Coturnix japonica: one gene and its partner. The protein of the gene in region 2 purifies or fractionates together with the protein of the main gene of each other region. This does not show direct contact. Links are inferred from orthologs where the notes say so. Each region holds a gene or a part of one and is shown on either strand. Other genes may lie near its edges.

Region 1 (5,826 bases), on a different chromosome or scaffold from region 2:
CCGCCGAGAGTGGCTGAAGGGAGACAGGCAGCCCCCGCCCGCGCTCCCTTGGCTGAGCGCCTGCAGCCCCGCACGGAGAACCCCGCGATCGCACCGCCGCTCCCCCGGCTCCGCTCACCCCGCGTCCCGGCCGCCGCCCGCCTCGCTCTGTCTCTCCCCGCGCCGCACGCAGCCGCCCCAGCGCTGCCGACGCAGCCAACATGGCTGATGGGAGAGTCCCCGCCACGTCAAGGGGCACAGAGCGGCGGGCCGGGGCTGGGGGCGGGCTGAGCGCCGCCGCTTCACGCCTCTCCCCGCTGCGACCGGGCCGGGACGCGCCGCGCTCGGGCCGACCGTCCCCTTAGCAGCGGGCAGCGATGGACCCGGCGTGAGACGGCCCGTGCAGCCGCTCTCTGCCTTACCGGCCGACTTACCGGCCGCAGGGGCTCGCGTTTGCTCGTCTGCTTTTTCCCTTTCGACTTTGAGCTTTCTGCTATAAAGCTCGATCTTCCTCCAGCAGTGGTTGGGAAATGACGGACTGCAGCCACTAGAGGGAGCTTCGCCTCCTGGTGTTTACGTGTTTTCTCAGGCTTCCTGGAGGGGGGGTAGAGGGATAGGGGGGAAAAAGGTTAATATAATATTTGTGGTGACTTTCAGCTTGTTTTATCTCACATTTAGAAATAAGGTATAACACATATGTATTTAATATCTTCAGAGAAAGTTTTAGGTAGCACTGAATGTACAATCCAGTTTTTGTCTTTGTTGTTGTTGCTTTTCTGGGTTCTATACCATGACTATCCACAGGATTGTTTGCCGGCTCTCTTTAGTCTACAAACATGAGTAGCCAAACAAAAGCACATCTGGAAGAGAGGGTTTTAATACTCACTGCCCTTGATTCCCAATGCCAGCTGTGGGAGTATCCAGCTGGATGGTGCCGAGGACATGGCATGTATGGTATTTCTCATGAGTTGTTAGCACAGTTAAATGCCATTACATAAGAACCAAGAGAAGCAAAGAGAGGCAATAACAGCAACACTGTCGACGTGTCAGATGTTCTTAGGCAGCAGTGCATGGCCGCAGGTAGCAGCTCACCTTTTATGTGGAAAATAATGGCTACGCAGCTGAGAAACAGCTATGATACTCTGCTCCAGGTGCTTATTCCTCTTCTTCCACTGAATTCCATTGACCAGCTGTTGCATCGACATCGCTGCTAAAATCCGTGATAGTTTTGTTGTTAGATTGCCTGCAATCGTTTTGCAAAGTTACTTGGATTAAATGGTATCAATCAGAAGTTCCAGCAAATAATATGTACAGAAAATATATTAAAAAACAAACCAAACCCAAACATTTGTATTTCTGGCATCTCTTTCCGTTCAAAGACCTTGACTCCGTGACAGATAGAAAAATATAACTTCAGAATATGACCAAAGCTTTAGAAGAGGACTCCTCAGTTTTACTCACCGTTGTTTTTGCTTGGACTGTTGGTCAGCGGGGCCATTGCTGTGGCTTTGGGCTCGCTGGACTTATGTCCAGCAATGACTGCAGCTGTTGCACTCAAGCAGGATGTGAAATCCGGGCTCCCTGTTACACGTAAGTGGATTTAGAAACACCTTAAAGCAAACAAAAGGTCAGCGGAGAGGAGGAGTTAAGGCTGATGTTTGTTTGGAACTGCTAACCTACAGTCTTATGGGAAAATAAAGGACAAAACCGAGGTCAATGTAAGAGGCTGTTCTGCTGTATGGGCTGCATTTAGCACACTGATGACATGCTGTACTAAGAAACAACAATACACAGGAGTTTAATAAGGGACAATTTACACTATTTCAGTAAGTACAGCATTGTCCCTCTGTGTTTTACCTGAGAAGTAACCCACCTCAGTGCTACTGCTGCTTTGATTTGGGATAAACCCATCCAGAAACAAAATGAAACCTCAGCCAAACGCTTCCAGGACTACACCTGGATTTACAGCAGTGACCTTTTAGGCAATTAATTTGCACTGTAGGTCTCTAGACGTGACAAGGAAGGGATAAGAATTATTACTGCCCTTCCACGGGCGGAATAGACAGTATGGGTGAGTTGTGAAGAGCTACTTGCGAAAGCTAAGGTAGGTAATGACGCGGGGCCTAAATGTGGTTATCAGAGGTGCCGTCCAGCTCAGTAACGGGGTTATCGCTGTGGCCGGTTCCCCGGCAGGACGGCACAGTGCACAGCCCCGCAATGGCCGTAACGCCCGGGCACGGCGGCGGCGCTCCGCCTGCGCGAGGAACGTCTCTCGCGAGAGCAGCCGGGCCGGCGGCCGGCGGGGAGAGGCGGGTCGGCCGTGTCGGCGGGGCGATGGAGGCGGCCGTGGAGGAGCTGATGCCGCGGCTGCTGCCCGTGGAGGACTGCGACCTGCCCGACGACTTCGACCCCAGCGTGCCGCCCCGCACGCCGCAGGAGTACCTGAGGCGCGTCCAGTGAGTGGAGGGACGGGGGTTGGCGGCGGGCCGGTCGGGCCTCACTTCAAGGCAGTTTAGGAGCATGCAAACATAAGTGCAGTTGTTTATAAAGAGTTAATTCTGAAGTCAGACCTTCTGTAACAATTGCCCGTGGAGTCAGTTGGTTTTTGCATAAGTGAAGATTTCTGCAGGTGCCGTATATCAGAGGCATTCGTCCTATAACTGCCCATTGCAATACAGTGGTTTGGTTTTATTTTGTAGGATCGAAGCAGCGCGATGCCCAGATGTGGTCGTGGCACAAATAGACCCCAAGAAACTGAGAAAGAAGCAGACAGTAAATATTGCAGTAAGTTTGGGCTGCTCTATTCCTTTTGCTATAAGAAACAAGCAGCAGGAAAGATAGGGAGGTCATAAGCATAACTGAAACAGCAGCTTTGCTGGATCTTAAAGCTCCTAATGAAATAAATAAAACTTTAGGGTTCGAAGAAATACCTGTTGAGTTTCTGGGCAATAAGGAGTCTTTGTAGCTGATCAGTGTAAATCAGCCATAGCCCTACTAACTGACACACAGCAGACTTCTTTTTGCCTGAAGGAATCAAATGCTGAGCCAAATTCTACAAGTCTATCTTAAAGCATGTGTGAGCTTTAGAAGAAAGCAATATCTGTATCTAGATTCAAAGACCCTGAAGATCATATATAGATGTATGTAAGGCAGTAAGAGCAGTAAGTACAGCTAACGTAAGATGAAATGTTAGCACCATTTCTTCACTTGTTGATGGAATTTCTTATTGGGATTTCCCCTCTGTTAATAAAAAGGAGCACTCTCCTTTTTATTCACAGGGAAGTTAAAGCAGAATAGGTGCTAAAAACATGACCTTAAATGATTCTTCAACAGCACATTCTGTGTGTTTAATTTTCCTTCTTTGCATACATGCACCATCAAGCAGGATGAATTTTGTCCAGACTAACTGTTAAATCAGTTGTCAGGAAATTGCCTTTCTTAAAGCGAGTACTTGTATTTTTATCTGCTGGCAGTCTGTCGTTGTTGTTTACTACTTCTCTTGTTCTTTAAGGATTATTTTTATAAAGCTTTTTATACATTATAATTATTGCCAGTGTTTTCTTAGATTTCTGGCTGTCAGCCTGCTCCGGAAGGATACTCTCCAACACTCAAGTGGCAGCAGCAGCAAGTGGCCAATTTCTCATCTGTTCGTCAGGTAGAAAATTCTGTGTGTGATGGAGACTGGAGGGATGCTTTAAACTTGCACATCTGTGCTTTAGGGGGGACAACCTTCTATCTTTCCTGCCATAAAGCCATGACATTTTGATCAGATGTTGCTAGTCAACTGCTTTAATTTCTTAATAAAAATAGAAAAATAAAATGTGAATATACTGTGAGGCTTTTAAACTTCTGATGAAACTCATTCCTGAGAGTCAACTCTTTGAAAAGGTAGATAATGGCAGGACAAGGGGAAATGGTTTTAAGTTAGAGGGAAGATTTAGGTTGGATGTGAGGGGGAAGTTCTTTACTATAAGAGTGGTGAGTGCTAGAACAGGCTGCCCAGAGTGGTTGTGGATGCCCCATCCCTGGAGGTGTTCAAGGCCAGGCTGGATGGGGCCCTGGGCAGCCTGGTCTATTATTAAATGTGGAGGTTGGTGGCACTGCCCGTGGCAGGGAGATTCATGACATTTTGATCAGATTCATGATTGGAGATTCATGATCCTTGAGGTCCCTTCCAACCCAGGCCATTCTGTGGTCCTGTTAAAGCAAAAATATCTGGCAGTATTTACACTGAATGATACATAGCACTCCATGAAGGACAGAAATCACTGTGATGTTACACAGTGACACTAAAATCAACAGTGTTCTACGTTGTTCTGTAGAACTATAGAACAAGTAGATTCCAACCTCACCATGAGCTTCATATATGTAAAACACTGTCCATTTAGAGTCCTATGGGCACTAGTGGGAGCCATTATGTTCAGAAATACCGATCTGCTAAAATGGATTTGCAGTGCGGAGGTAGTGTTAGCACAGACTTTCCTACCACATTTGTATCTTGCTTTGACAGAAAAGAATTGAAGAACTGAGCAGTCTCTCTCTATACACTGTTCAAACAGGGTGTATATGAAGATTTTAAGACTAGTAAAACTTACTACTTAAAACGTCATGCAGTAGACTTTACAATTCCTTTGACTTTAATATTATTTCCAAAAACCCAGTATAAGAAACAGTTATATTTATACTAAGAGGCTTGATGAATATGTGCTCAGTAATGCCTTTACTGATTTCAAAACATACTTTTTTAAGTGAAGATAAGATTATGGCTAGGATCCAATAACTGTAAAGTTAAAACTGATTTGGCTTTAATTATTCAGAGCCTGAACAAGCACAGAAATCACTGGCGGTCACAGGATTTGGACAGCAATGTTAACATGGTAAGTAGAATTCTTAACAGTTCTGTTTTTTCTAGTCATTACATTTGTGGTTAATTTTGTTTTACAGTGTAATTCAACAACTGGTATTATCATGTCTGTTCTTTGGTGTCTTCAAGATAGCTATATTTCACTGGTTTCAATTATTTTTGTTTAATTTAGCCCAAATTAGAGGATGAAGAAGGTTGGAAGAAGTTCTGCCTGGGTGAAAGAGTATATTCAGAAATAGATGCAGAATCTGACCATGAAAATCTAGGAATTGATTACATAAAGGTGAGTATAAGAGGACTCATTTTCAACTGTTATTTTCACAAATAACTACCAGAAACAACGCTACTGTTTATTATCACGTTGTGCTAAATATAAAGCAAGCTGGCTGATGAGCCCAGTAAGACCCATTTCTCTTCCCTTTTAAGTTGAAATTGAGTGAAGCAGAGAACAAATCTATTAGTTCAGTCAAAAAGTTCGGGGAGTTCCCTCATCTGTTCCCAGCTAAAACACGCTAATTCGCTGCCAGCTGAAGTTTTATCCATAGTCTGGTTTAGTGTTTTGTAAAGTTGCTCCCTGTTTTTGTACATGCTATTCTGTAACAGAATTCAAAATAATTACCAATTACAAATACTAACATTAAATGTTAGTAAGTTCTAACTTAGAAAAAAAAGGTGTTTGTGATGTTTCTGCATTTTCCAACTTGACTTTTTTCAGGTGGGCTTTCCTCCTCTGCTAAGCATTGTAAGCAGAATGAATCAGGTAAGCCTACATCTTAAGCCTTCCTCTTAGAACAGCATAGTGATATTGCAAAAGTCAGTACTTCCTGTGTTCCAGCAGTTGCATAAATCTCAGCTATTTTTCTGTGCTAAGGTGATAGTTTATTTCAGCTGCTATTCAGTGTACACTTACAAGGAAAAAATATTATCTCACCTTTAACTACAGTTATACCAGCAAACATTTACTGTAACTAGATGTAAGTGTA
Region 2 (5,583 bases):
ATGCACAGCCCGTGTCACACAGCACGCCAAGCACCCGCTGTGTGCTGCCCCCAGCCGTGCCCCCCACCAGATCCCCATAGGCCTCATCCCACAGCCGCTTCCCCTCCTTGGGCACAGCTCCACGGGGCTGTTGTTCTTCCACGCAGAGCTGGCCGTGAGGTTCCCCCCCACCCTTCTGTCTGGGCCGTTTCTAGGAACTGCAGCTGTTGACAGCAGCTGGATGTTCCTTCCTTGCTCCAAAGGAGGGGCCCTGGGCCTGGGCCAAGCCGTCCATAGGCACCATGCACGCCTTGCACTAGGCTGAGCCCAGCCTGCAGCTCAGCTCTGCTGCCTCAACCCACTGCTGAGGGAGCTGAAGGCCGTACCACCCTGGATCAGGGTGTGCAATGATGCTGGGATATTGGGATAGCACAGAGGCACCATGCTGCACCCCTACACCCACGCTGTGGCCTTGCCTACTGCTCAGTTCCGGAGCCCCTCTGACTTTTTGCCTCGAGAGAGCTCTGTACTGCACAATAATATTTGCACGCCTAAAAGTAGCAGGATCGATCGCAGTGCTGTTTTGCAACCTGTTGACGAGCGGGCAGTGTGGGATTATATAAGTGTACACAGCGCTGGCACCGCTGTGCCTCGATCATATGAGCACTATTGTGTAACGCTTCCTATCGCTGCCATCGCACCGAGTGGCCCCACTGCAGCCCCACACCACGAGGGCTCCAAGAGATGGTGATGGTCTCCATGGGGGCTGGATGTGCAGAGACGCAGCACACCCAGCAGGGAAATGGGCTCGTTGCCTTCCAACCCTGAAGCGTGGGGCTGTGGTGTTGGGTTTTGGGGGCAATGGATGGAGGCACCGTTATCTGAGGTCTGAAGTTCGCCTTCAGAAGTCACCCACATATGACGCAGTTTCCCCACCCAGGCCAAGATAAATTACCTGCAGCTTGCAATTAACAACCAGCTCCTAATCAGCAGCTGCTCCTGGTGAGCTCTGAGCGCTCATTGCCCCCCACACAGCACAGGGGCTCATCCTCACCCTCTGCACTGCGGTTTGGCCACCATCACCATCACCATCACCCCACTCCTGCTCCAGCTGCTCATACCATGTAGGTTATTTCATTCCTACCTGGGGCAGAAGTAGACCTGGCCACCTTAACTCACTCCCTACAGCCCCTTGGCTTTGTGGCACAGGGTCTGTGTGCTGACAGCTCCATCCTGCGCCCAACACACAGTGCTCTGTGCTCTGCATGATGGTGGCAGTGCCATGCGGGACACGGAGCCCTGCAGGACACACTCAGAAAACACATCTGACGTTGTACAGAGCGAGGAAACCTCACCCTGGGACACGAATTAATCTCTGCGGAAACACAGCCCCAGTTCTGTTCCAAGCCCCGATCTCTCCCCATTCATTCTGTTCCCTGCGCTGGCACCAGCCCATTCCCACCCCTGGCACCAGCTCCTGCAGCACAGCGGGGACAGGGATGTACGTCCTATGCGATCACAGCCCTGCCCTATAGGCGAGGTGCTGCTTCAATAACCCCCCAACCTCAGAGCAGAGCATGGCTCACTCTTCAGCCCCGCAATAGGACACTTGTGGCTGCCAAGAAGGAGCAGAGCACGGCGAGGCATTGCTACCATGTATGTGCGGGGCATTGCTGCCATGTGCGGGGCATTGCTGCCCTCTGCTGAGCAGGATCACCCTGAGCTCAGCCCCAACAGCAGCACTTCCCCTCCGCACCACCAGGGTGCCCTGCAAACAGGGACACGTCGAGGGGTGGTCCCGCTGGTGGGCGTGGGGAGGGGCGTGTCGCCGCGGTGACGCACGGGGGCTCGGTCCGGCTGCTCGGAGCGGAGCGGTGGGAGCCATGTACCGGGCCCTGTACAGCTTCCGATCGGCTGAGCCCAACTCGCTGCCGTTCACCGCCGGGGAGACCTTCCTGCTGCTGGAGCGCAGCAACCAGCATTGGTGGCTCGTCACCAGGGCCGGCTCCGGGGAGACGGGATACGCGCCGGCCTCGTACCTACAGCGGCTGCAGGTGGGAGGGGGCGGCGGGGGTGGGGGGAGGGAGGGAGGACCGTGTGGGTGCTGCTATCCCTCCTGCAGCCCCCATTCCATTTCCCATCGGTGTGACATGCCGTGTTCACCATACTAATAGCAGCCTTCTCCCTGCAGCTCTCTGGAGCAGCCCTCCCACACCGCCCCGCCGTGCTCGTGCTTTCCAAACCTTGCTTTGAACTTATGTTTGTTATTCATGTTATGTTCTGCTGTAGCCCCCCCAAGTGCTCGGAGGTCGCTCGCCATCTGTTCTGGGTGACCCTGATGGTCTGTTGGTTGCCCACTGACCCCGAGGTAGAGCTGCTCGTGACCCTGTGACGTTCAGTTCAGCTGCAGCTTCCCCAGTACTTGTGGAGCTGGTGGCAGGAAGCAGATGAGCCTTTCCTGCAGCCTCTCATCTTCATTTGGCGGTGAAGTTTCTGGAGCCAGAGCTCTCCTAGTGGTGCATGAGGCAGCAGGACTCAAAACGCTGCCCTGCAGCTGTGTTAGTGCCCCATCTGTGTGATTCTAATGAGCTGAAGCCAACCTGCATGGCAGTGGGGCCCTGTCTGGGTGAGAGCATCCTCTGGCTGAGCTGAGCCATGGCCATTCACTGTGTGTCAGCCTCCTGACCAGCCTCAGCTTTAAAAAAGCACCGTTACCAATTAGTAACGGTCCTGTGCAAGGCAAATAGTTCCACCCCAATCACGACAGGGAAAACGAAGCTCCTGATTAGCAAGGAGAGCGAGTGGCCAACAGGAGTCACCATTGTAAAGCGAGGCAGGGCTGTCAGCAGTGCGTCAGGTTCCAGGTGAGTGGCAGCAGCAGCTCTGAGCCCTTGCAGTGATGCTCGGGGAGAGCACAGGGCTGCTTTCCTGGTGCCACCCACTGCTGGGAGCATCAGCTGCCTTCTGATTTGCAGGTTTTCCTGCCTTCAGGCCGTGCTGGCTCAGGCTATGCTCCCCGTTTCAGCAAAGGTGTTAACCTTGCTTGCTGAAGAGGGGAATGGTAGCTCTGAGCTGTTCTGGTGAGGACGTGGACGTAGCTGAGAGCACAGCGAGCACTTTAAGGATGCCTCAGGTTGCTCTTTTTTCTTTCTATCTTTTTTTTTTCCACAGGAACAAACAGGCATGTGATAAAAATAAGACTGCTTCACGCAGCCTAGCAACAACTTAGAGTTCTCCTACAGCATAAGCAAATGCACAGAGGCACAGCACAGGTAATCCTGGTTGGATAGACACAGGGATGGTGTTTCATTCCTCAGCTGAAGAGTAGGGGGGGCTTTGGGAAGGAGTGAACTGTGAGCACCCTTTGCTTGCAGGAAACCCCTTCATTCTGATGCATTTTGTAGTATTGACACATGCTATGGGCAAATGTGGCTGCTTTTCTAGCAGGACAGCAAACAAGTTGGTTCAGCAGCACGTCCTGGAGCTGGTGTTGATATGAGTTGGATTAGAAGGTGAGCAGAGGGCTGTGGCACTGACCATCTCCTGCACTGCTGGGAAGCCACAATCGCCATGTGTCATCAATTCCAGATCTGCCACAGCTTGTAATGGGCGTGAGAGCTTAATCAGAGTGCTTGCACAGATCCTGAATAAGCACTTAGACTAAAAATAAAGTTTTATTTTGGAGAATAAGCAGCTGGTAGTGCTTTGCAGCTGAGGCTGTGCTTCTCAGTGCATGTAAGGAGCTGAAAGAATGAGGCCTTATTCTCTGGGCTGTCACAATAAGACGTGCTATCCTAGCAGAGCTGCTAGTGCTTCCAAATGAAGTTTCATTCTTGAGATTAAATGACAGTCAGGGGAATTAACCATTTCTAATTACTGCAGCTAAATATTGGACGTCTTGGCCAGAAGTTGTGCCTTCTTCCACAGTTCTTAATGATTAAAGTAGAAATATACTAATGGTCTTTAGCATCTGTTTTTACTTGGTCACGTATCTTCTGGGGGTCATGGGGATGTGTCCTTCTCACTCAAGATACTTTGGTTAAAAACTATTAAGTGCTGTTGTAGAAGAAGAGTAACCTCTATGCTTGGTGCAGGCTGCACACCAGGAAAGGCTTTGATGGGAGCAGACAGTATCATAGTCGTTGGTTGACCTAAGAGGATCCCCTGCTAGGTCTGGGACATATTAATTCCTGTGGGGAAAGCCAAATCCCATATAAACGGGTATTTATGTCTCTCAGTAGCTGAAACATTGAAAACAGCTGAATCCCTCTGGTAAGGTCATTAAGAGATCTCTGTGCAACAGAAACAACCCCCTCTTTTTCTTCCTTTACTTATATGCCTCAGATGTATGTAAAAATAAGCAGCATTTTTAAGGGCTATACTCCCTTGTGAAGGGGTTTAAACTTTGTCATTCCCATTCAAGATTACACATGCAGCACGTGAGCTGCCAGTCCAGGCCTTGGAAAGATGATAAATTCCAGCAGGGAGAGTATTTCATAAGGAGAGAAGAGCCAGCAGCCTTCATGTGCAACTGTAGCATTAGATAGTCTATAAGAAAATTAGGCTTATCAGATGCTGATGCCCTTTGTGGTCAAAGCTACAGCCAAAACGTTATAAGCCATGGCTTCTGGCAGAGCTCTGTGTGCAGGTGGGTTAAGAGATAGCAAGCTGGAGCTGCAGCCTGCTCTGTTGCTGAGCCTGTATGTTGAGATTGCTTTGTTGCATCTTGTGCACACATCTGAAGGGAAGGAGCTGCTTTCAAGTCATGCCGTGTGCTGAGGATCACACAGCTGTGCCACGAGGCCTGGTGGAGGTGATTAAATGGGATGCTGGAGGTGCAAGGAGCACATTGGTCCCTGCCCTGCTGCAGAGCAGTGCCAGCATGTCTCCTGGCTTCACACAGAAGATGGTTTAGTTCTATGGAGTGACTCCCACTTGAGGCCCAGGGCCTCACTGGGGAGTGAAGGGAGCATGGCCTCTGGTGTGCAGCAAGTAGCCATGAGCACATCAACCTGCTCCTGGGTTGTTGCCTTTTGTTGTAGCTGGATGGGGTCCTGCATGCTGTGCCTTCCTTCTTCCTGCACAGGCTGCTCAGCTGAAGCTCCTGGGCGTGCAGGTGGTTTGTGAGATGCTGGCTTCTGTGCCCGTGACCTGGAAACGCCAACGTGTGCTGGTACTGGGGTTTGTTCAGCTGCTCACAGGGTTTAATCTGACAAAAGAGAAGTCTGTCAGAGCGTGTGCTGGATAATTCCAGGCTGTGGGTCACGTCTTGCTAAATCACCAGTTCCACATTCGGGATAGATCTCTTCCAAGCAATAGCTATTAATTATTTCTTGGTTTATTTTTTTCCCCACTATGAGTGAGGCAGTGCATTGCAAGACAAAAATCTGAGAGCAGGCCCCATCTCTCTTGTATTAAGCTGAAAACAAAGGGATAGAGGTGTGGTAAGATCCCCAAAATAGTGACCCTCTTTGGTGGGGCTTGATGGGGACAAATGGGTCCTGAATGCTTTCCTGGCCTGGGTTTGCTCAGTGTTGCCTGGCTCTGCCTGTCCTGCCCTGCAGGCTCAGCCCCATGCCACAAGCAGGAGATCCAAATTGCTGT

Evidence for each region.
Region 1: the proteins of NCKIPSD (region 2) and GEMIN2 purify together in Homo sapiens (co-immunoprecipitation; 3 studies listed by BioGRID and IntAct, counting the BioPlex papers as one, with this or other methods). This does not show direct contact. The link is inferred for Coturnix japonica from reciprocal best matches to the Homo sapiens genes NCKIPSD and GEMIN2.

What each region holds. Positions count from the first base shown.
Region 1 is NC_029520.1:34,101,342-34,107,167, forward strand, and holds the start of GEMIN2 (gem-associated protein 2), read left to right. Parts: upstream 1-2,181; 5' UTR 2,182-2,196; coding exon 2,197-2,435; intron 2,436-2,678; coding exon 2,679-2,763; intron 2,764-3,544; coding exon 3,545-3,634; intron 3,635-4,796; coding exon 4,797-4,856; intron 4,857-5,015; coding exon 5,016-5,126; intron 5,127-5,558; coding exon 5,559-5,603; intron 5,604-5,826. UniProt on the Homo sapiens protein: The SMN complex catalyzes the assembly of small nuclear ribonucleoproteins (snRNPs), the building blocks of the spliceosome, and thereby plays an important role in the splicing of cellular pre-mRNAs.
Region 2 is NC_029527.1:6,654,603-6,660,185, forward strand, and holds the start of NCKIPSD (NCK-interacting protein with SH3 domain), read left to right. Parts: upstream 1-1,791; 5' UTR 1,792-1,862; coding exon 1,863-2,033; intron 2,034-3,215; exon of another isoform or gene 3,216-3,230; coding exon of another isoform or gene 3,231-3,251; intron 3,252-5,583. UniProt on the Homo sapiens protein: Has an important role in stress fiber formation induced by active diaphanous protein homolog 1 (DRF1). Induces microspike formation, in vivo. In vitro, stimulates N-WASP-induced ARP2/3 complex activation in the absence of CDC42.